Arabidopsis thaliana: one gene and its partners. The gene in region 2 interacts genetically with the main gene of each other region. Each region holds a gene or a part of one and is shown on either strand. Other genes may lie near its edges. The genes, in order: HUA2, LD and ELF3.

Region 1 (8,031 bases), on a different chromosome or scaffold from region 2:
GTAGCATCTGGGGAGCAGTATGACCTTAAATTGGTAATTTAAAATGGTAGGGTAAGCACAAAGGTTTCTGACTGTATCTTTGAGAGTCTACAATCAGACGAATTGACTAATATAGTCTCACCTGGAATTGCAGGGACAGCTTGTAAGTTACTAGCAGCAGAAGGCTGATAGTTCATTGTCCCTGAAGGTGGACGTTCTGGAGGTGGCCGAAAGAAACCTGTAGAATTGCAAATAAGACCATCAATTTCAAGGAACTAAGCCATGGCATTAACATACAAGCTAGACAATCATAGTCAACAGAAGTATCACAATGATTACAACTCCACAAGCAATCATGCAAGTTAATAAACCTTAACAGGTAAAGGGTCTATTAGGATTTAAGCATCTACATACTGTCTGTGACTCTAGGAAGGCCTGGATGTGAATTTCTTCCATGTATCCAGGCACCATTCTGATTTTCTGCACTATGTCCACTTGAAGGAATCCGCCATGGTTCCTCATTTCTGTATCGCCGTGCATCATCACGTTGAGGTGGGAAAGGGTAAGGATGAGTGTAGGAATGCTGAGATTGTGATTGAATATGGCTTGGATACGAAAAATGACTGGACGGTGCTGAAGGCAACCTAACCATAGGTCTTTGGGACAGAGGGGTGCTCGGCTGAAACCGATGGTTCTGTGAAGAAGCTTCAGGATTGAAAAGTACATCGCTGTTCCCAAATTCTAGTTGTCTGGAGGAAGTAAATGATGAAGGCTCCCTGGAGCTGCACACTCCTGCTGGTGAAAAACTGGAGGACTGCTGCACAAAATATTCGGGTTTTCCAGCGCCCTCAACAAGACCTCCACGTGAAGAATTTCCAGGCCCCTGGACAATTTGATCACCCTGCACATGATGTCCAGGGGGTTTAAACAAAAATGATAAAAGATGCATATGTATAGTGAGGAATCATGAGTAAAATGAAACATAACAAATCAAAGAACTCACGGTGAAAATACTAGAGCGGTCTTGCTGCATAGATCCTGGGTATGTTTGATGCGATAAAGGATATGTTGGGGGAGGAAATCCTGGTTGAAATGGTATCTGATGATGGCTAGCTATGGAGAGTTGAGTTGTTAATGATTGTGAAGGCGGTGGAGGTGGAGGCGGCGGTGAAGGTGGAGGTGAAAGTGGTGGTGGAGGAGGCTGAGACGGAGGTGGTGGAAGAGGTGGGAACAGCGCTGCGGGAGGCGGTGGTGGCAGAGATGATGGCGGGAGAGGAGGGGATGGAGGTGGGGGAGAAGGTGGTAGAGGAGGGAGAGGGGGAGGTGATTCCTGAGGTAGCGGAGGAGAATCCTCTGGAAGAGGATTGAACTCGGTTGATTTTTCTGCAACAGGTTCCATAACATCCAGTGATTGCTCCTTTGTCTTATTCTCACAGAAAGAGGAAGGTGCTACATCTTTCCGCTGGCCTGATACATCTTCCATTTCAAGTTCATGATCGACATCCTCCAAAACTCGATGGCATTTATCACTCGAGGTATCATGTATTTCCAGGTCGTCTAAAGCACTGACACGTTCCCCCGCAGATGTGCTTTTTTCTTTTTGTGATGTTGGAAGATCGTCATCTTCTTCATCATCTTCAAAATTATGAGATGAAAAAAACCCTGGCAGCTGAAACGTTGCATTGCTGCAGAAAAAACGACAAACAAGTTAATAAACCCTCTACAGAATGGCAACAGACCTTGCCTGTTATTTTTTCATCAGCAACATATATAATCCGGAGAGTACACTACTAAGCAAGACAATCGTTTAGCATACCTGCCATACTCATCAACAAGCATCCCTTCCATTTCCCTGATAGGATCATCTACAGCACGCTCAGATCTAGAAGGACGTCGCAGGGAAAACCCACCAGTTGCATCATCACCAGAAGCTCTAATATCATCAATATAACGACGCAGAAGAGATTCAGGGAAAACTTTCCTTTCAAGCCACAACTTCAGGACCTAAAAAAACAAAGAGGTCACTGACTCCAGCCTACAAAACTGTAAGGATAACATAGAAACAAGCAAATAGTTTAAATACCTTCAGACATTTACGACGGTTATCACTAGCACCAGTCCCTGGAGGAGCAGCGGCACCTAAAAGACGTGGCAAAGCAGCTTGCACAGTAGGAACGTAAGAAGCACCAGCAATACCTACAAAATTCACAAGCACTGGAAATTATTTAATCTTTAATGATAATAAATATATTAGGTGTTCTCTTTGTATACAGTAAAAAACAATACAACAATGCTTGTGAATTTTTTACTTCCCTGAAATGCTAATAAATACGGTATTATTAGCATTTCAGGGAAGGAAGTGAAAATTTGAGAACAGGTATTGCATCTATCCAAGAGGAAAGCTCACCTTTTTGGCTGTGCGAATGCTGGGTGATAGAGTCGACGAGAAAGAACAAGTCCACTTTACGATGGAAGTGAGATTCACTTTCCAACTTTCGTATGAGAAGTTCCACCACCTAGATAAAAACACAAACAAATTTCCAATTAAAGCAACTATTGTCTGAACAATATTACGCACCAAATGCTGTAAATAATTTTGAGAAAGCAATTTACGTAGCAAGCTAAACATCCAAGAAGTAAAGCCAGAATAAGTGCAATTCTAAATTGATTTGATATGTGCAGCCTAACAATAAGTTTGTCGAAGCCTTAAGAAAAAACATAATGAAAAACCAACCAACCATCTTACCTCACTAGCAAGCCCATACTTGGCACAATCAATTGCTAGGCGAGTTGCACGTCCAATACTTTCCCTGGTTCTTGATAAGGTCTCTAACATGCCTTCAAAAGCATCCCGAGAAATAGCAGCCTCAGTGCTACAACTAAGTGAACCTCCAACTGACTTATGCCCTGAACTAAGTCTTCTCTCTTCATTATCATCAGTCTCAATCTGATTTCTTGATAAGGACTGATGCCCATGATTTGACGGAGAAGAACCTTGTTGATGATGACCTTGAACAACTAACGGCATTGAGATGGCAGCAGAAGCTGAAGCATTCTGAACCATAAATGGGCTATGGCTCCTCCCCTGTGTATCACTGATGCTCAAGAAACTAGGGTTCAAATTCCCAAAAATTGAATTTTGTGTATGTGCAAGTTTTCTTTTTGCCTGCGCAGCAGCAATTAGATCCTTCATAGATGCAGCCGAATCTGGGGTCTTTGCACTGGTAAATGTAGCACTCCCCTTTTCTCTATTGAGGTCAAGCCTGCAAGAAAAGAATAATTATAAGCAGTAGGCGACATACACACAAAAAGATGACAGATAGAATGTGACATACATAGCAGCAGACAAGTCCTCAGACATGTCTCTTGAACCAGAGTCATTCAAACGTGATGCAGCTTTTGAAACCACTGTTAGCCTCTCTCCAACTGAAGCTGATTTGTGTCTCTGATTTGCTGGCTGAGACTGAGAAGAGCTTATTTTGTCAGATCCCGCAACCGCCTCCTTACAAGAATCACTTTGAGGCTTCTTTGCCATCACAACACCAGAAACTTTCACCGATGATTTTACAACTTTATGCTGTCCTGCAACGTGCTTGTTAGTTAAAACCAGCTGAGGGGACATCTTCGGAGATTGCAAGATCTGTTTGACATCCTTTGGCGGCAATTCATTAATGGGTTTTACCACAGGTAAGCTATTAGTAGAATTCTCCGCATTGCTTGGTAATACACGTGATGCATCCTCACAATGTTTACGCAGAGGGAACTTTCTTACTTCAGTACTCTCTGTAGATCCAGCAGATATCTTAGCTTTTGTAGAAGTACTGTGACACACATTAGCCCTTTTAGGACCATCAGTCAAAACAGATGCTGCTTGGGGAACAATGGCTGGTTTTCCATGTAATGGGGTTTTTGGATCTTCATCATCATCTTCGTCGTAGATACAAACAGCCCTCCGTTTTTTCAGCGACTGTGCAGCTGGAGCCTTAACATTACGAACAGGAGAGGAACGGTCTTTCTGTTCCAGATGACCTTTCCCAGATTTATCACGAGACCCAGAAAAAGAAGGAGAGGTAGCATGCTCCATTGTCTGTCTCTGGCGCTTTGTATATGCAACTGCTTCTTTATCATATTGAAAATTTCCACCGCGAGCACCTAATCCTAAAACAATTTCACGCTTAATATCTGATACAGTCCCAGTAGAATCAGATCCATCATCAATTTCACACTTTACTTTATTGTCTGCACTTTCACATCGCGGCTTTTTAGCAGCACGTGAGCTTTCATCTACTCTTGGTGCAAGCTTACCTTGTTCACTTTCAAGCCTCCTTTTCTTTCCGGAAACCCCAACCTTGATGCCAGGTGAATTTTCATGCTTATCAGCAGACACTTTGGAGCTGGTTTTCTCTGTCAACAGACCTTTCGATTTTTTGGAATCAGAGTTACCACTGGCAGTTCGACCACCAGGCACATGTGAGTTATTGCTTTTGTCTCGATGAACTGTATCTTCACCTTTTCTATCAGAGCCACCTGCTTCCTTCTTAATTCTCTTACCGTTAGCCAGCTTCTTTTGGCCATTACCAAAATGTTCATTGCAAGCACTACCGTCAGTTCCTTTATCAAAATCTTCTTTCTTTATTTTAGGGTCAAATGAACTATGCTCCAGTGACTCGCTAACAGGGGATGTGGTTTTGACCTTTGATTCCAGAAATGAAGATGAATCTAGCTTCCTTATCTCAGCCTTTCTCTCCTCACCATTATTCTCATCTAATTTGGGGAAGCAAGGATCCACCCTAAAATTAAAGTTATCAGTTCTCTCAGACTCAATGACAATATGATCTGTTCCATCCACTATCTCAGCCTTTGTCAAACCAGGTTCAGTAGCATCCAGAGAATCCTCATCGCCCAAAGCATTTGACTTGTGATTCTGCAACCCTTCAAATGCAGTGCAGATTTGCTCTACAGCTTGTGCAAAGTACTTGACAGTTTTACCTTGACATCTTGCTAATAGTTTGCTCTTTGCCTCACTAGTGAAGGCTTGGATATCAGGTGGCGCAACAAAAGCTCTGCAGTAAAGGAAGATAACTTTGTCAATGATCAGTTTGTAAAAGACAAAATCAACTCCAAAGATATTGTCAGCCAAAAAGAAAAACACTTGGTAACATGTTGAAACACCTGATAACCGAGGTCTACTACTTAATTCCTAGCAACATGATATACTGACTAAAGTTCATATACCTTTCTGGATGAGAAGGTACCAGAATCAAAGAATAAAAGAGAATAGCTTACATTTCCTCTGTTCCAAAGAACTGAACAAAGTACTTCTTTGGGTCTGGCGCACGATCCCAATCTTCAGGCCGGCTGATCTGAAACTCAAAACCAAATTACTTCACAAGAGAGACTAACTAAAGAGAATTGTATTAGAGAGATTCGGAAGCTCATTATTTATCGAGATGAATAACATGTGTGTTTCATAATTCAACCATGGAATCTGACCGAGTAACTAGATAGATGAGTTAACTGACTTTCAAACCAACTTAATCATGAAGCCTAGTATCTCAACAAAAAGAAACAGAACACACTAGAGCTCAATTCGACGAAGTTAATGTGTATTCTAGAATTCGTAACGATAAAAACAGAAGACCCAACAAGTTAAAGATGATGACTATGGACTTAAGGACTATATGAGAATTCAATTAGAGAAGAAGCAAAAAAAACAAGAATCTGTGTAAGAAAAATTAAAACCCAATAGAGGAATCATAATGATAACGCACCTTGGCAGGCCAAGCAGGGAAGCCTTTGACTTTGGCGAGAACCAGATCACCGAGAACCAACTGCCCTTTGGCTTTGGCCTTGCTCGCTCCTCTTTTACGCCCAGGAGCCATAGGCGAGACCTCTATAAACCCTAATTTTGAACGCGAAATTGGAACACCCAACAGAATTACGTATTCCAATCCAACCCAGACACCCAATTAGAAGAATTCTCCGATTCCTCCTATCCGAAGATTATTCCACCGGAAGAAGCTCGCTGATTAAGGTAGTAGCGGAGACAGCTACGGATCACGAAACGAGAAACAGCGACGTAGCCGAGAGAAAGAGAGAGCGAGATTGATCCAGACAGAGAGAGATGAGGCGGTCGCGAGAGAGAGACGATGGGGTTAGGGCTGAAAGAAGGTGAAAACTTTCCAAGGAGTTTTTGTGAGAAGTTTGGTTTACTGTTGTCGGCGTTTTTTCCCCTTTCAATTTCCTTTTTCACCAAGGAGAGATCGAAATCGAAAAAGGTTTTTCCTTATTTTCCAATTTACCTTATTTTGTAGTTTAATCTCACTACTCCTAAGTCTCAACCAAATATATTATTAAGTCATTGGGTCATTTATGTCCTCTTTTCTTGTTTACACTTTCCTACACGTTTCCATTTATACTTTTAAAAAAAAGGAAAAAAAAATCATGTTTTCCATTTTTACACATTATAGAACCAACAAAATCATATAAACATGTAAACCATAGGATAAATTAACAATTCTGCTAGTATTTAAAAAACTTTTATTAGAGTGAGATTGTCCAAATATAATTCAGAGTAACAGAAGCAAACACTAGCAATTGAAGGCTCAGCTCAACACGACAAGACAACACCGTACAAGAATTTTCATAAAGATCTTAAGATTCTGTCCCTAATTCAAAGAGCATAATCAAAGACCAGTGTTAACACAAGAATATGATGTGTTCTAACTTCTTCTATATAAAAAGAGGCAAATCAGAATAGATGTGGCTTTGACTTGATGAGGTAAGCAAAAACATGAAACCGAAGAACATCGATCAAGAGCATAAGGAAACAGCAAACCCCATCTTCTAACATAAACTAACCAACTAGAACTGGGGTTTCTGAAACTAGACAATAATCTCATCATTTTAGACTTTCTAGTTAGTATAAAATGATGCATAAATCAAAGATTTGCAATGCATCAAACTGCACATAAAATTAAGACCCAAAGCCAAGCGTTAATCCAATATTCATTTTACTGAATCAGATATGAGACTGTAAACACTAAACATGCGAGGAAAAGATTTCAGAAATATAGTCATGATTGATTTATGAATGAATAAAAACAGTTTGAGAGATCATGCCCTCAGAGCATAACTTCATCCATAGAAAAAAGTAATCTAACAGGATCAAAGCAAAACTGGTAAGAGGAAAAGAAGAAAATTTATTACTTTGATTACCAGTTACTTCCTAACTTGAACTCTTATCTTTGCTTTCATTTCCAACTGCATCTTTCACCAACTCCAACGGTCTTTCATCAATCACTTCATCGATTATTCCAAACGCCTTAGCCTCTTCAGGAGTCATGAAATGATCCCTATCCATGTTATTCGCAACCACGTCAAGAGGTTGACCCGTGTGTTTGACATACAATTCATTTAACGCATCCCACACACGAACAATCTGTTTTGTATGAATCGTTATATCTTTAGCCTGTCCACTATATCCTCCTGAAGGCTGATGAATCATAACAGTTGCATTTGGAAGTGACCGCCTTTGCCCCTTGGCACCCGCTGCCAACAGAAGAGAAGCCATTGATGCAGCCTGACCCAAACAAATTGTGCTAATAGGAGAACGAATGTACTGCATAGTATCATAAATTGCAAGACCTGTATCAAAGACAAAGATTAAAGATGCGTCACAGACTCACAACAAACAATTTGAGACTCAGAAAGTGTTAACTCGTCACAAACCAGACACTCTTGAGACTGTGGACATTAAAACTAGTAGCAGGAATCAAGTTACAAATCCACAGAAGAACAAGTATCAACGAACAGTATCAAAGTTTCAACTATATCAAGTAATTGACAAAGCAGTGGCATATAGCGATCTGATTCCGAATCACACTAGTACGAATTTTGACGAAGCTAAAGATAGAAAATGGAAAGCGGAAGCGTACCGGCGGTGACATGGCCGCCAGGGGAATTGAGATACATATGGATCGGCTTCGAAGGATTCTCAGACTCGAGGTAAAGAAGCTGAGCGACGACGACGTGAGATGTGTCGTCATTAAT
Region 2 (7,307 bases):
GAATGATGATAACGATTTTTCGGATATATTAATTTATTCTGTCGACCAAAACTCAGACTACAATTATCTGACTAATTGGCTCTTTCTCTCATTAATCTGTTATTCTTAATTTTAATCTTCTGTTTTTGGATCTCTTAATTATGTTTTTTGAATGATTTGGCTAATACAAGTTTGAACGACTTATGAACGATTTATGAAGAGCACTGTCTATCACCGTCTTAATTTAGAGACTGCTTACTTAGTTCGGTGACGAGTAATGTGGATTCAATAAACATTCACAGTTATGAAATTAGAAAAGACATAAATAATTTTTGACCTATCATTTAACAAAGAACAAATCATAAGAACGATAATTAAACGGCTGTTAACTCTGTATTTGCAAGTTGAGATTGTGGCCTTAAACTATATGCTGGGTTCTTTTAGTTATCAAAAGTAAACCCGGTTATCCATCCCAACCGGTTAAGATATCGGTTTAAACTGAGAGTACCAATAGGAACAGTATATAGTGTTCCCTTTGTAAACAAAAATTGTGTACGAATAAGAACAGTATCCACATTCTATCAATCTTCACAGAAATGGATATTGTATACCAAAATCTCCAATTACCGAAGCAGTCCAGTTTAGCCAGTGTTACTGTTACTAAATTGAATCAGATTTGGAATTAGTCGAATAATGATGAAGACAAGACTTGTTTTTGAAAAGCCTTGAAGCCAATTGAGACAGTAATAACTTTATCCATTCATTCTTTCTTTTAGTTTATTATCTCTGATGAATCTGTTGTGAGTTAAAAATGAAAATCTGTGTCTGAACAGAGTATAATGCTAATTCAACCATGACAAGCAAATATTGAGGACCAAAGAACCATAGTCTTATATATGGTTTAACGCCATCTTTTGTTTTGGTTCCAATATGGATGAGTAGAAGAATCATGTTTCCTTGATGCTTGTTGTTGTTGTCCCCTCATGTTAAGCTGGTTCCTACTTGGGCTATTATCAGGACTCCATGATTCATATCCTGGATTGCTACTCATGTACTGGCTATTCCCTTGGTATGAAGTAACTTGTGAAGCCGATGCAATCTCGTTTTCTTGATGTGAGTAGTAACTGTTCTGACTCTGCTGACTCCTCCATGAACTCGATGTACCTGTTCCCATTTGTCCTACTGGTTCCCTAACTGCATACGAGGTTGTTGAGATTGGTTGTTGTTGTTGTTGTTGAAAATGTAAATTGTGATGAAGTTTTGGTTGCATATATTGTTGCTGTTCTCTTTCTGTGTGAGCCAATGTGATCGAGTTACTGTATGCTGATGGAGCATGTCGTGGGATTGATTGTTCATTTGTTTGATGCCATTGCATTGAACCAACACGAAGCTGTGTACCCGATCTAGCAACTGCAGTACCAACTTGGTTTTGCCTTGAAAATGGATTCCGAATCCCTTCTTGTCCCCATCCACTCTGTAAAATTGGAACAATACACTTAACTCAGTAAGAGAATAAGAAACAGACATTAACATCTTCTAATGGGGGCATTGTACTCATCAGGTTAGATCTAACAGCTGGAATTCATAATCCAGTTTGGTGTTAGCTAGAGCCTGTTGTAGTTCTTTCCTTTTTTCTATATGTCGTGAGATTCAATTTGGCAACATGATCTATTAATAGGGTTTTGGATATGTCCGAGGAATTTGGGGTGAATAGGTTTCAAGTAACGCACCATTCCAGGATTAGTTGATGGAGTGGGAGATGGAAGGGAAACTTCGACCCTTTCTTCAACCTGTTTATTTGAGCTACTGCTTGAGTTTGGTGCACCAGTCTTAATCACATCAAGCAGTTTTACCATATCTTGGCCGGCTAAATTACTGGGTTTTCCCGAAGTTAGTGCATAAACAAGATCTGGGTTCTTAAGTAACGCAGCTAATAACTCGAGATCAGGTTCAGGACTGCTTAGAGATGAAGAGGTTGTGGCAGCACCAGCAGCAATTCTTCGTTCATCAAGTGAATCCTGTGGTTCCGTTAAACTTTCTTCTGGTGGCTGTTGAGATGGAATTTCAGGGGTCAAACTGTCATCATAGTCCATTTCCCTATCCCATGGTTCTTTAGGGTTCAACGGTATAGTTTGAAGAGACTGATATGTTGTTTCTCTTTCTCGCCGGTTTCTGTTTCTCTGAACATCAGCCTCCTTGCTATTACCACCAGCGGCTACTCTCCAGAGTTCGTCAAGTTCCATTCCTGAAGAAAACTAGGCATTAGAATGAGTCCTAACTAACCACCAAAATAGAAGTGAACCAAAGAAGACCCTAAAGAGTCACATTCAGCTTATTCAATAAGTGGCCAACGAGATATAAATCCAACGAATGATATTACCTGGTGGTACATGCCAATCAATCTGTTTTCTCTTGCAATTCTTGAGAATAGTTTGTGAACTCATTTTCATCATAACTCCCACCTTACTAGAAATGCTTTTAGGAGGTGTTGAAGGTTTTTTAATTTCATCAGCTTGTACCGGGACAATTACGGCCGAAGGTCCATTGACGGGCTGAAGAGCCGAAGGTCCATTGACAGGCTGAACAGCCAAAGGTCCATTGACGGGCTGAACAGCTGAAGGTCCATTGACGGGCTGAATAGTTGAAAATCCATTGACGGGCTGAACAGTCGAGAGTACAGGTGTGTCTTCAGTCTTAGCTTCATTGTTCTGAATAGGTGGAGAATCCTTGGCTGAATGAAGAGCCAAGGGCTTCTCAGGAGCAACGATTTTCGAATCACCAATGGCACTTGGTAAAGGATCCTTTTTACTGTTCTTGCTCTGCATATAAAGGGCACGCATCTTTGCTTTCTGAATATCATCAGCAGACATTGGGCGGCTTCGACCTGAAGTTCCTATTCTTACTGTCTGCGGACTCTTTCCAGCAGCTTTTTGGCCTGGTTGTTCCACCATCTGTACTTTCCTGCGTTCTTTGTTATCTGCTGAAAGCTAAGGAAACTAACTTTGAAGTGAAGGATTATCCTGAGCTAGGAAAAGGACTATAACATGATGTGGAATATTTGGTTGCTCTCTTGACATAGCAGGTTTCACATGTAAAATACCGACTAAATAACAGAAGTAGCCAACAAGTTCAATACGTTAACTTATCCAATGCATTGAGAAAATGTAAATCAACTGGTGCTTTTTAATAAAAGAGCTCAAACGAAAGGATACACGATGGATTTGAACCAAGCATGTGTTTCTTGGTGGAATCATCTGCAGAAGTAAGCAACAGTTTTGGACCCTGTGACGATTCAATCCTCCTGTACCAGAAGATAACTAGTAATTATGAAACCACCTAACTATCAAAAGGGAACCTGTTCTAGATGGAATTTAACAATCAAACTGATACCTGACATTCTCTGACTTTCCATTTGAGAGACTAAGAATATCTTCCTGTTACGACACGAAAAACGGTTTTAAGGAACTGATGCACGTAATAGAAATAAATTCATGTTTTGCACCACTTACAGGATTGCTACTATCACCCATGATTTCAGCAATACTGCATAACAAGACAGAAGTCTATGAGTAAAATGTCACTAAACAACAAAATGAGAGGTAAAATAAGTATTATTCGACACATAAACCAAAACTTGCCTCTGTTTCAGAAGCAATTGACTCTGCGAATCAATTTGCGAACTGTTACGATTTTGTTTCTTCATAGCTTGGATTTTCGCAAATAACTTGGTCCACCTTGATAACAAACCTTTTGCCCTGTTTGATATGTCTGATCTTCAAATCAGATGATGAAATCGAATAAATCACAACAAGAACTTTGGCATTGATGAAAGCTACGCAGCATTTAGGTTTTTCAGAAATTACACCTGATATCCTATAGAAACGAAGTCCATTAACGCTTTGTAATATGGCAGACATATTTTCAGGAGATGCTTTGTGGAGAGGTAAATGACAAAGAACCTGCGTGTTAAATGTCAATTATCCATAATAAAACAATCTGCATATTTTTACAGCCATCCAGCTGCAAGTAAATTAATCTCGTACCTTCAGGATAAGAAGTAAGACACTTGTTTGCTCTTCACTAGCAGCTTGACTTAACCATGTTGTAAGTATCAAAACCCCTCCTTTTGATAAAAACCTGTGGCACATATAGAAAATGACTGTCAAGACGGGAATATAATAACAATAAAATAAAATAAGACAGTGGGTGAAAGAGAACCCCCAACTAGTACCAGATCAGCACAGAAGCATCTTGTATCTGCATGATCCACTCCATTAGTTTCACCTGGCCTGAAAATGTTTCCTCTTTACGCAGCAGAGAAAATATATTCTCAACAAAGTATTTGTCTGAATCGCTGATGTCAGGTGGAATATCTTCAGGTGGAATAAGTGCCACTGTTTCACCTTCACCCCAGCTTATAGAACATGCCTCCGGATGTATAGAGTTCAAGGGAACGGGTTCAACATGATTTGTGGCATTGTTATTTTCCGGAACACCATCATCTTGTAAAGCATGCGTATTGGACATAACTACTTTCTCCCTTGAAAGCCTCACCTGTTTCCTCACTCTTGTCTTTTGAGTAACAAAAAATTCTCGAACCTGCCATTGAAGAAAATAATAAAGAGACAAACCAAAGTCTCATGAGTACCTCAACATGACAGATCTAAACTGACATGGAATTCTAAAAGCATGGCAAAAAAGAGTACATATCATGTAGAAGAACAATACCTGGGCGACTGTGATGCCAAATAAAGCACTTATCTCCCGAGATTCCCTCTTACTAATAGCATCTTTAATTGCGAAAACTGCTTGTAGATACTTAACAGCCTTAGGATTCAACAAGTCTCTTGGCCGCTTTCCTGAAATATTTACAAATTCATCAGATACTAGGCATCGAGCACGTAAAAGTTGGGTATGCCTTTAATGAACCTAGAGAGCAACAATGAATTGAAACATTCTCTGTGATATACGTAATTATGCCAAAAGATCTCACGAATCCTAAGATGACTCACCAATTTTAATGGACAAAGCACCAGCAGCCTGAAACAACAAAAAAATTAAACAGATTAATGTCTTTAACAGAGATGATTACTTGATCAGAGAAATGACATATAAACAGTTGAAGCATCACCATTACAGTTCACAGAAGAAACGGAGAGGTCGAGCTATATGAATTTATACCAAAAACACCTCTAATTTTTGCTAGACTCAATACCCTTCAAAGAATTTATTCCAAAATCCGAATGACCTGTCCCTCTCAGCTTTGCCCATATCACCATACCCCAATAAAACACGAACTTTAGATACCAAAAAACATAGAAACAATAACCCACCATTTCTTGCGCAAGGGGATTAACGCCGGTAAGTTTGCATTGCGCAACGACGACATCTTGGAGCTGATCGATCTGGCTATGAAAAAGCACCTTCTGCGAATCCAATAGCTCCATTAAAGACTCCACCGAGCTCCCGATTTCTATCTCCTCCTTGAACGCGTCCATGGCCGCCGACGGAAAACTCGAAGACCAATACGCAAACCGAATTCAAAATGTGCATCAGGGAATTAAACTGAAACGTAGGACTCAGTGATTCGAATGTGTTGAAACGATAAATTCAATGAACATGGTTACCTAATTTCGGATTGTCAAAAAGCCGATTCGGGTTAGGGTTTGAGTAAGGAAGGCAAAATAAAGGGGCATAAAAGTAAATAAGTTACTTTACAAAGAAAAATTATAAAACGCAGCGTCTTGATGTAGATCTCTGAAAAGGTAAGAAATTAAATTTGTTTAATATTATACTAATATATTAGTTGACATAAAATAAAAATAATTAAATCTATAAGACCTGAAAATAATAGAATAGAAGAGAACGAGTTTGTTTCCTGAGATATCTTTTCACCGCCCTTCTCATAGGTCTCGTCTCTCTTTCTCTCTATTTTACGCTTTTTTCCTGAACGATTCTTAGGGTTTTGATTCTCTCTCTCTCTCGCTTCTTTTTCGATCGCAGCAGCTCTCGCCGATCCTGTGTAATCGGGAATCGGTAATCGTCAGGGTCTGTTTGGGGTACGGCGACGCGATTTTCTGATTATTAGGGTTTAAGATCTCGAGGTATCACTATTTCTGTCGGATTCTCGCTTGTTTTGTTCCATACGACAGTTGATTTTTTTATCATTCTGTTGATTGTTCGTCTTTCTAGGTTTTTATTTGAATTTTTGTGGGATCGAGATTGTTAGGGTTACGTCGGAGTCTCTGGATTGCGTTTCTACTGTGTAATTTCGTGTTTATCTCATGGATTGATTGTTTCTCGAGTATATTCTGATGCTTATGTCCTCGTTTGCGCACAATCTGATAGTTTGGGTTTGATTTGGGTGATAATACTCGTTTCGCATTCGATAATGTGGGTGTTAACGTGTTATTATAACCTCTGAAGAATGATAAATATTGTTGACTCTCTCGCTTCAGTCATTTCATTGTGTTGCTTAATACTGCTGTTCTAAATTTTGGTTTTCTCCTTGTTCTTTGGTTAACTTAGGTTGAGGAGAGCTTGAAAAGTTGTTTGTCAACATGGAGCGCAAGACTATTGACTTGGAGCAAGGATGGGACTATATGCAGACTGGAATTACTAAGCTGAAACGGATTCTGGAAGGATTGAATGAGCCAGCATTTGACTCTGAGCAATATATGATGCTTTATACGTAGGTTTTATACTTGTTTATTACCTTATATAGCGGTTTGGCTGTTTGTCCTGATACTTATGATGGGGAATTTATTTGATTCTCAGGACTATCTACAACATGTGCACCCAGAAACCTCCTCATGATTACTCACAGCAGCTTTATGACAAGTATCGGGAAGCATTTGAGGAATATATTAACTCAACAGTGAGTCTGATTGATATTTAGTTTCTTTCTTATAAACTTCTCGTTTTTACTACCTCTGAATTTTAAGATGCCACTTTTGTGCATGGTTTCATATGTCAAGAAGTCCTGTCCCCTCTTGGTTTTAAGTTGATTCAAACGGTTTTGAATGTTTGCTCTCTTGTTGTCTGTGGTTAGGTTTTGCCTGCGTTGAGGGAGAAGCATGATGAGTTTATGCTGCGGGAGCTATTTAAAAGATGGTCAAACCATAAAGTAATGGTCAGATGGCTATCCCGCTTCTTCTACTACCTTGACCGTTACTTCATTGCTCGGAGATCACTTCCACCACTGAATGAAGTTGGCCTGACATGCTTCCGTGACCTGGTATGGCATTCATTCCTGTGGCTTTATAGCTTTCAGTTGTATTGAAATATTTTTAACTTTTCCTTGATTCTGTTCGCTTCAGGTTTATAAT
Region 3 (6,762 bases), on a different chromosome or scaffold from region 2:
TTAAACAATGGTATTGGCCAGAGGATGCAAGACTCAGGACGTTAGATACGATATGATATGTCGGAAAAAAATCACTTTCAGTCCTCATTAGATGATTAAGCTTCTTGTGATGATCACTTTCTTATTCTCCTTTATGTGGTTGTTAGGTGAGAGCTTTCGAGAGGCACTGTGGATCGTTGTCTCAGTACGGAATAAAGCACATGAGGTCGATTGCAAACATGTGCAACGCAGGGATTCAGATGAGGCAAATGGAGGAGGCAGCAATGCAGGCTTGTCCCACCATCCCTACCAGTCCTTGGAGCTCTCTTGACCGTGGATTCAGTGCTTGATCTTCGTCTCCGCCCTATATTAATCGATGTCCATTAATATCTTACTACCAATTATACTCCTTCCTATGTAGACAAGATGTTGTAAATATGGGATGCTTAAGTTCTTGATGTCACAGACAAAAGAAACAGTGATTGTAAGTAGTTGTTTCAAATAATCTTTGTTGTTCAAGTGATTTCAAGGCTTTAAGACAAATTAACACATATAAATGAGGCTTACACCATAATACGTTTACATGGTACATATATTGAGGATAACATCTATCACAATTTTTCTAATTTTGTAAAATACATATCAAGTACAATACGCATAGAGAGGATTAAGGCTTAGAGGAGTCATAGCGTTTACGTTCTTCTTGTATTGACTGGAAAATTCTGGCAGCATTCTCACTCGCGAGCTTTGCGTTGTGAGGTACCACCTTTATCACTCTCGTCACTCCTCCCCCATCTCTTGTTGTCTGAGTAACAGTTGTTCTTGTCGTCGTTGTGGTTGTTGTCATCGTTTGCTCAGGTGCATTGTTGATGTTGCTGTCCTCATCAACGGCTGCGAATGGCCGAAAGGACTTGCTACCAGAGATTCCCTGTGGCCCACTTGGACTGCTTCCTGTGCTCCCTTGCCTGCTCTTTCTTGCTCGCGGATAAGACTTTGTTGGCTGTTGCTGTTGCTGTGGAGCAGGTTCATTATCAGATCTCTGTTGTTGTTGTTGGGTGTTCTGAAGATTTCCAGGATGTCCAAACTGGTTCATTTGCTCATTGGGTTGTTGTTGTTGTTGTTGTTGGCTTGAACAATATGGGTTCATTATGGTGGGCATCATTCCATATGGAGGGAAGTAGCCATTACCAGGAGGTGGGAATCCCATGCCGGGGTGATATTGAGGCATTACCATTGGTGTAGGCATATAATGACCATAATATCCTCCATAATGCCCCGTGTGTGCCATACCTGGGTGAGGCTTGTATATCAGTCCTTCCGAGGGAGACATTACAGGGATCAACCATTGCTGATGATTTCCTGAAGGAGGAGGCTGAGGAGGAAAGCAATATCCATTTGGAGCCGGTGAAGCCGGTGGGTTGTTTGCAAAAGGCATGTAGTTGGATTGTTGATGATGACCTTGATTTGACAACCTCCCAACTACGTTCTCAGCTGAGCTTTCCATTTTATGTTGGTCAGTCTTCTCCGAGTCACCCCTTTGTTTGACGACAACATGTGGTAGAGGAGGCTTTACCAGAAATTCTGATGGAAGGAGCTTCTTCACTGGATAGCTTTTAGCAGAAACTTTTCCAAGAAAACTGATCTCATCGAGCAAGAGATCCGGTGATGCAGCAATAAGTTTTTGAACCTGATTATTACACAGTTGAAGAGGTTTGTTTCAGCTCGAGAAGAAACAAATACTCATGGAAACATATGAGAAGTTTCTGAATGACTTTACCTTAATCAGTCTGTGCAACTCAAATAGTTGAACAGCAAATACTCTTTGTTGACTGTAATGAGAAACAGAGTCACATTAAGAAGATTATCCATCAAAAGTTCAACAAAGAGAGACATAGTTTAGGTTGAACAGCTAATGGAACAATACGATCGAAATGAGATAGGAAAAAAGAAACAAGAATACATAGCCAATCAAAAAAGATAGAAGAAAACCAAATCAATGGGTCCAATGACATATTAAAGCATAGATAACAATGCAAAGGACGGGCTTATTGAAATCTAGCTTACAGCGCAGCTTATCCTCTGCAAAATGAGATGTCAGATATTTAACAAGAAGCAAGAAATAAAAATCTTATTATTTGCATTGGTCGTGAATCCGATACCTTACCATATGGATTAGAGTACATTGAACCTTAAAAGTTAAGTCATGAAGCCTACAATCATAAAAACTCTGTAGTTCACAACCACACTAAGGATCCTCTTAAGCAGTAGTAAGAAGAAACTATAATTCTGCATCGTCATAAGACTCAAAACTAACTTTACGTATGGTTAACTAAAATTTAGATCCTGGGGTCCTCGGAAAAACATTTCCCTACCTGGTTCAACCCCTTGAATGACAAGTAGGGAAAATGCCCAAGACGACAGTGCAGAATAAAAGCAATACCAAACCGAGACAGGGACATGTTCCAACAACCAGATGCAAAGAAGGTATAGTAATAAAGCCATCGGCGGGCACCTTGCACAATATAGGTCAACAGAGAATGTCCCTCCCTGCTATAACATGATCCAACGTGTTAAACGCGTTAATATTCTACCGAGGACTCTACAACTAAACACATAATAGGACCATTTTAGATGAATCAGGGGCCTCTCAACTATAGAACCATCACTTCTCAAGCATAAACCTGAAATCTCTTTCTCCCAAAATGAGACAGAATATGAAACTGAGTTATAGTCATATATGTATATCAGCAATCAATTGCAGCATTAATCATGAAAAAAAATATGAAGGAGAGTGTTCTAGAAATTTGAAATTTGGTGATAGTGAAATATGCCCTACCACAGTCCTCAATGAAAATAGCAAAAAACAACAGAGGAAAAAGCTTCAGTAAGACTACGGAACAATGCTTAAATATTAACTTCTTTCAAGCAAAAAATGTTGGTATCAAAGAAGGAGATAAATAGAAAGAGCGGAGAATAAATAACCAAACTGTAAATTTCTAGTGAACTTACTTGGCAATGGCTTTCCTTGCTCTCCAGAAACGTTTTTGACCTAATATACCCACAACATCATCGGGAGAGACATCTATGCTGGATATAGAATCCACCATCGAATCATCAGAAACGTCATCACTTGCCTCTTCATTTATCTGCTGCAGAGAGGCGCATGCTCTGCTTTTGCTGTATTCACGATCATTATCAATGTCTTCAGGACTGCCATGACCCTCTTGTGAATGATTTTCCGTTGCCAAGTGAGATTCAGCTCCATTATCAGTGTCCTTCAGACGAGTTTTGCCACCATCTCGGTATAACCGATTTCTAGACTCTTGTCTCAAGGAAGCATTATAATCATTTACTCTATCATGACTTGATGCTGATTTTTCGAGATCAATCTCCTCTGTGACTGATACATCTAAAGAGATTACAAAGCCACCTGACCTTGCATTCGCCTTGACCTGATCCCTAACTTCAGGTTTTGAACAAGTAGCCAAACATACGTTTTGCTTTGAGCCTGTCTGATTCACTTCTTGAAATCGAATGGAGTGATGAGAGCTAGGTGCCACCATTGGGGTGTGTTTTTCCTTCTCAATACCACTCTTGGTTCTGCCATGAGACTGAGATCTTCTTGAGTTAATATATACTGGAACTGCAAAATCTTCTTCCTCTCTCACCATTTTCCTCTGATCATGCTGTGCCGAAGATCTCACATTTTCCATGAAGGACATTTGGGAGACAAACTTCTCAGTTGCTTGGTTTGCGGCTGAAGAATCAAGATGCTGGACAGATAAGTTTCTTTCCACACCACAAGGCTGCATTGAAGAGGGTAAAAAAGGATTATTTCTCATGTCCTTGCAATAGTCTGAATGCTCAGGGCAATCACAAGAAACTTTCATCGAACTTCAGAACATAAAAAGAATCAGGCACAACAAGAATGTTAGTTTTAAGAAATAAACCACACTTAGATAAACTTGTGTCTACAAGACTCTCATATATACAGGAGAATTCAATCCTAAAAGCTCAATCCATAAGCAAAAAGAAGATACTATGATCTGATAACAATTGAAACATAGATCAACCAATGTCCTACTTTCTCTTTCAGGCTATATAACATCCAAACTCATACAACTAATAACATCAAGAGCCTATACAATGATCAAAATCAAAACAATACCTGACTAGATGGTCCAGGATGAACCAAAGTGCTTGTGTTGTTACTACGAGAATTCATCGTTCCATGATCACCAAACCTCTGAGAAGGAATACTAAGCTGCTCATAAAGAGCCATCTTGTTTCTAGGAGGAGCTCTAGGCCCTCCTTTATCTGCATCATTCACATGAAGCCGAGGAAACATAGGTTCCAATATCTTCTCCTCATCTTTCCCTCTCTTCATCACTCACAATTCACAACCTTTTTCACTTGCAAACTTCTCAAACCCCAAATAACCTAACTTCACACCAAAAATCTTCCCTTTCTCTTAATAATTCAACCTAAAAACTGAGAAAGACTCCAACTTTCACAACAATAAGCTTCAATAAAACAAACCCACCAATCAAATGAAATATCTTAACCCAAAGGACAAACTACGATAGAGATCTCACCACCAAACCAATCAGAGAAAACGAAATCGAAAAACAGACTAAAGAGGAATCAAACAAAACCAAAGTGAGTTTTCAACGTACTAATCGAGAAACAGAGTGGGTGAATCAAGTAGAGAGAGCAAAAAGGAACAAGATTCAGAGGAAGGAAGAAGATGACTTGTGAACAGAGAGAGGAAAGGGGCAAAAAGAGATAGGAAAAGTGGAGCCCAAAAAGATAGAAGGAGAGGATCTCTCTGGAGATATTATAGATTTAATCCATTTGGACATTTTTTTCACCACCGGAAAAGTGCGTGACGACGTGGACTCTTTTTGTCGTTGTAATAAGAAACTAGAAAGTAAAAAAAAAAAACATCATCCAATACATCACTTTTTGTTTTCTTTTAGGATACGTAAAATGTCATAGATATATTACCATGTTAGAGGTTCTTTGATCAGTGCTTTGTAATGTTGAATAAAAGATTGTTTTCAGCTAAATGAAGTCTGTTTGTTTTTTCTTTTCTAGCAAATGAGTGGAGTCATCGACACGATTAGATTACTTGAAGATTCTTTTCTAGGGTTGTATGAAATTATAGGGGAATATAATGTAATATATGTGGATGTGAAGAGTAATTATATAATCATGCAATCTTCCAACTCACTGAATGAGGAGAGCTCCGATCTGTTAGGGATTTCCAGAATTGAAAACAAGAATATGGAAGTTGAAGATCATGCATAAACTGAAACAATTTCTTTGGTGAAACACAGAGCCGGTCCAACGTTTTTAATGCCGACGTAAATTAAAAAAAACATGTATTTCTCATTTTTCATGAATTTCGTAAAATCGTTTCTGAATTTTATACAATCTTTTCTGAATTTCTTAGATATCTTTGGATCGACAAAGTCCGATCCATAGTCAATCCCTACTATGCGGGATAACGCGATTTAGTGGGATCGAACTCCAGTAGGGTGGGTAGGTGGAGTCAAATAGACACGCCCTATGTTTTGTTAAGTTGAAATCCAAAAATATGAGTGAAAGAAAATCCAAATAATATTTATCTTAAAAAAGCCTAAAATATAGTTTATGTTTAAAAAAGGAAACTTAAAAGATAATTTGTCTTAAAAATGCTTCCAAAATTTTGATGCCCAACTCCATTCATTTCCTTGCTTGGAATGTGGGCTAGGCGGCCCAGGCCTAGAGAAACATAGCAAAAGCTCTAGGAGCTGTGATACGTTATTGGAAATGTCCCACTTGGACACTCTTATTTACTAAAACACGTTTCAAATCCATAGGACTAATAATTGACAATATATACCAACGGTGATATGCTGCAGCTGAAGACATCAACCCCACATTTTTCACTTGTCCTGTATCTAACGTTGATATTGTCCCAATTACCTTGTCTCCCTTTGTTAACTCCATCAACAGTTTGTGAGAAAGAATATTAAGAGGTTTTTGGACATGTATCAATTACAAAACCTTTAGGATCATCAAAAGTTACTTCCGTTTTTAGATACTTTTATATATTGCTTATTCGGAAGTAAAGAAACAATCATATTTACCAAAACCAACAAGTGAATGTATCCTTCAAAAGATAGAAGTCCCAAGTTGTGATGCTAAGGAATGGATTGGGGCCTTTGTTATGTATAAAATAAATTTGCAGGGGTTCCAAAATCCACCAACTCAAACTATCATGGACTTGTCCTGTATGGTGTCGTAAAATGCAACTACGATCCATCTTACGAATAATTCTAAGCATGTTATATAATTGGGAGTGGTCGGATAGTGAGAAATCATTTCGGAGTTCAAAATACTCGGTGGCACTATGAATATATAGCACTAATACCTCTGGAAGCTTAAGGTAAGGAATTACCAATGGTACTCAAAATAGTTTGGTCATACGGTTATACTCGCTTTCACTCTAAAGGAGATTGCGAATTTTTGGTAAAGATTATCAAATATCAATGGATATTGATGTTGGAAATATGTAGAGATATCCAGTGGTGGAGCCAGGAATTTTATTTATAAGGGTCATGAAATATATAACCTAAAATGTTTCATCTTTCAAAATAAAAAATTCTCCCATTTATCCTTTTTGTTTAGTGTATCATCAAGTACTTTTTATCACCAATACACTTTTTGTTAATATATAATATATATTGTGGAGATTGATTAGTTGTTGTGTTTATATTCATGGCTTTTAGAAAAAAA

Evidence for each region.
Region 1: of LD (region 2) and HUA2, changing one suppresses a phenotype caused by changing the other (phenotypic suppression), as found in Arabidopsis thaliana (one study listed by BioGRID).
Region 3: of LD (region 2) and ELF3, changing one suppresses a phenotype caused by changing the other (phenotypic suppression), as found in Arabidopsis thaliana (one study listed by BioGRID).

What each region holds. Positions count from the first base shown.
Region 1 is NC_003076.8:7,784,003-7,792,033, reverse strand, and holds the start of HUA2 (Tudor/PWWP/MBT domain-containing protein), read right to left. Parts: upstream 6,200-8,031; 5' UTR 5,862-6,199; coding exon 5,751-5,861; intron 5,343-5,750; coding exon 5,266-5,342; intron 5,043-5,265; coding exon 3,315-5,042; intron 3,243-3,314; coding exon 2,726-3,242; intron 2,496-2,725; coding exon 2,387-2,495; intron 2,176-2,386; coding exon 2,063-2,175; intron 1,984-2,062; coding exon 1,796-1,983; intron 1,665-1,795; coding exon 983-1,664; intron 881-982; coding exon 394-880; coding exon of another isoform or gene 386-393; exon of another isoform or gene 218-385; coding exon 122-217; intron 25-121; coding exon 1-24. Other genes in the region: NCLPP7 (nuclear-encoded CLP protease P7), read right to left, coding at 7,208-7,626, 7,917-8,031. UniProt on the Arabidopsis thaliana protein: Transcription factor that functions as a repressor of flowering by enhancing the expression of several genes that delay flowering including FLC, FLM/MAF1, MAF2 and SVP.
Region 2 is NC_003075.7:1,122,776-1,130,082, forward strand, and holds LD (Homeodomain-like superfamily protein), read right to left. Parts: upstream 5,716-7,307; 5' UTR 5,478-5,715; coding exon 5,313-5,477; intron 5,020-5,312; coding exon 4,992-5,019; intron 4,839-4,991; coding exon 4,708-4,838; intron 4,579-4,707; coding exon 4,211-4,578; intron 4,117-4,210; coding exon 4,023-4,116; intron 3,939-4,022; coding exon 3,845-3,938; intron 3,748-3,844; coding exon 3,618-3,747; intron 3,523-3,617; coding exon 3,489-3,522; intron 3,414-3,488; coding exon 3,370-3,413; intron 3,281-3,369; coding exon 3,192-3,280; intron 2,957-3,191; coding exon 2,360-2,956; intron 2,225-2,359; coding exon 1,710-2,224; intron 1,454-1,709; coding exon 881-1,453; 3' UTR 700-880; downstream 1-699. Other genes in the region: CUL1 (cullin 1), read left to right, coding at 6,540-6,670, 6,757-6,856, 7,031-7,216, 7,299-7,307. UniProt on the Arabidopsis thaliana protein: Seems to play a role in the regulation of flowering time in the autonomous flowering pathway by repressing FLOWERING LOCUS C expression.
Region 3 is NC_003071.7:11,057,063-11,063,824, reverse strand, and holds ELF3 (hydroxyproline-rich glycoprotein family protein), read right to left. Parts: upstream 4,882-6,762; 5' UTR 4,367-4,881; coding exon 4,148-4,366; intron 3,948-4,147; exon of another isoform or gene 3,786-3,947; coding exon 2,989-3,785; intron 1,809-2,988; coding exon 1,757-1,808; intron 1,667-1,756; coding exon 647-1,666; 3' UTR 501-646; downstream 1-500. Other genes in the region: ALPHA-VPE (alpha-vacuolar processing enzyme), read left to right, coding at 147-329. UniProt on the Arabidopsis thaliana protein: May be a transcription factor part of a circadian clock input pathway. Acts within a 'zeitnehmer' feedback loop and is involved in its own circadian regulation. Has no role in regulating circadian clock function in the dark.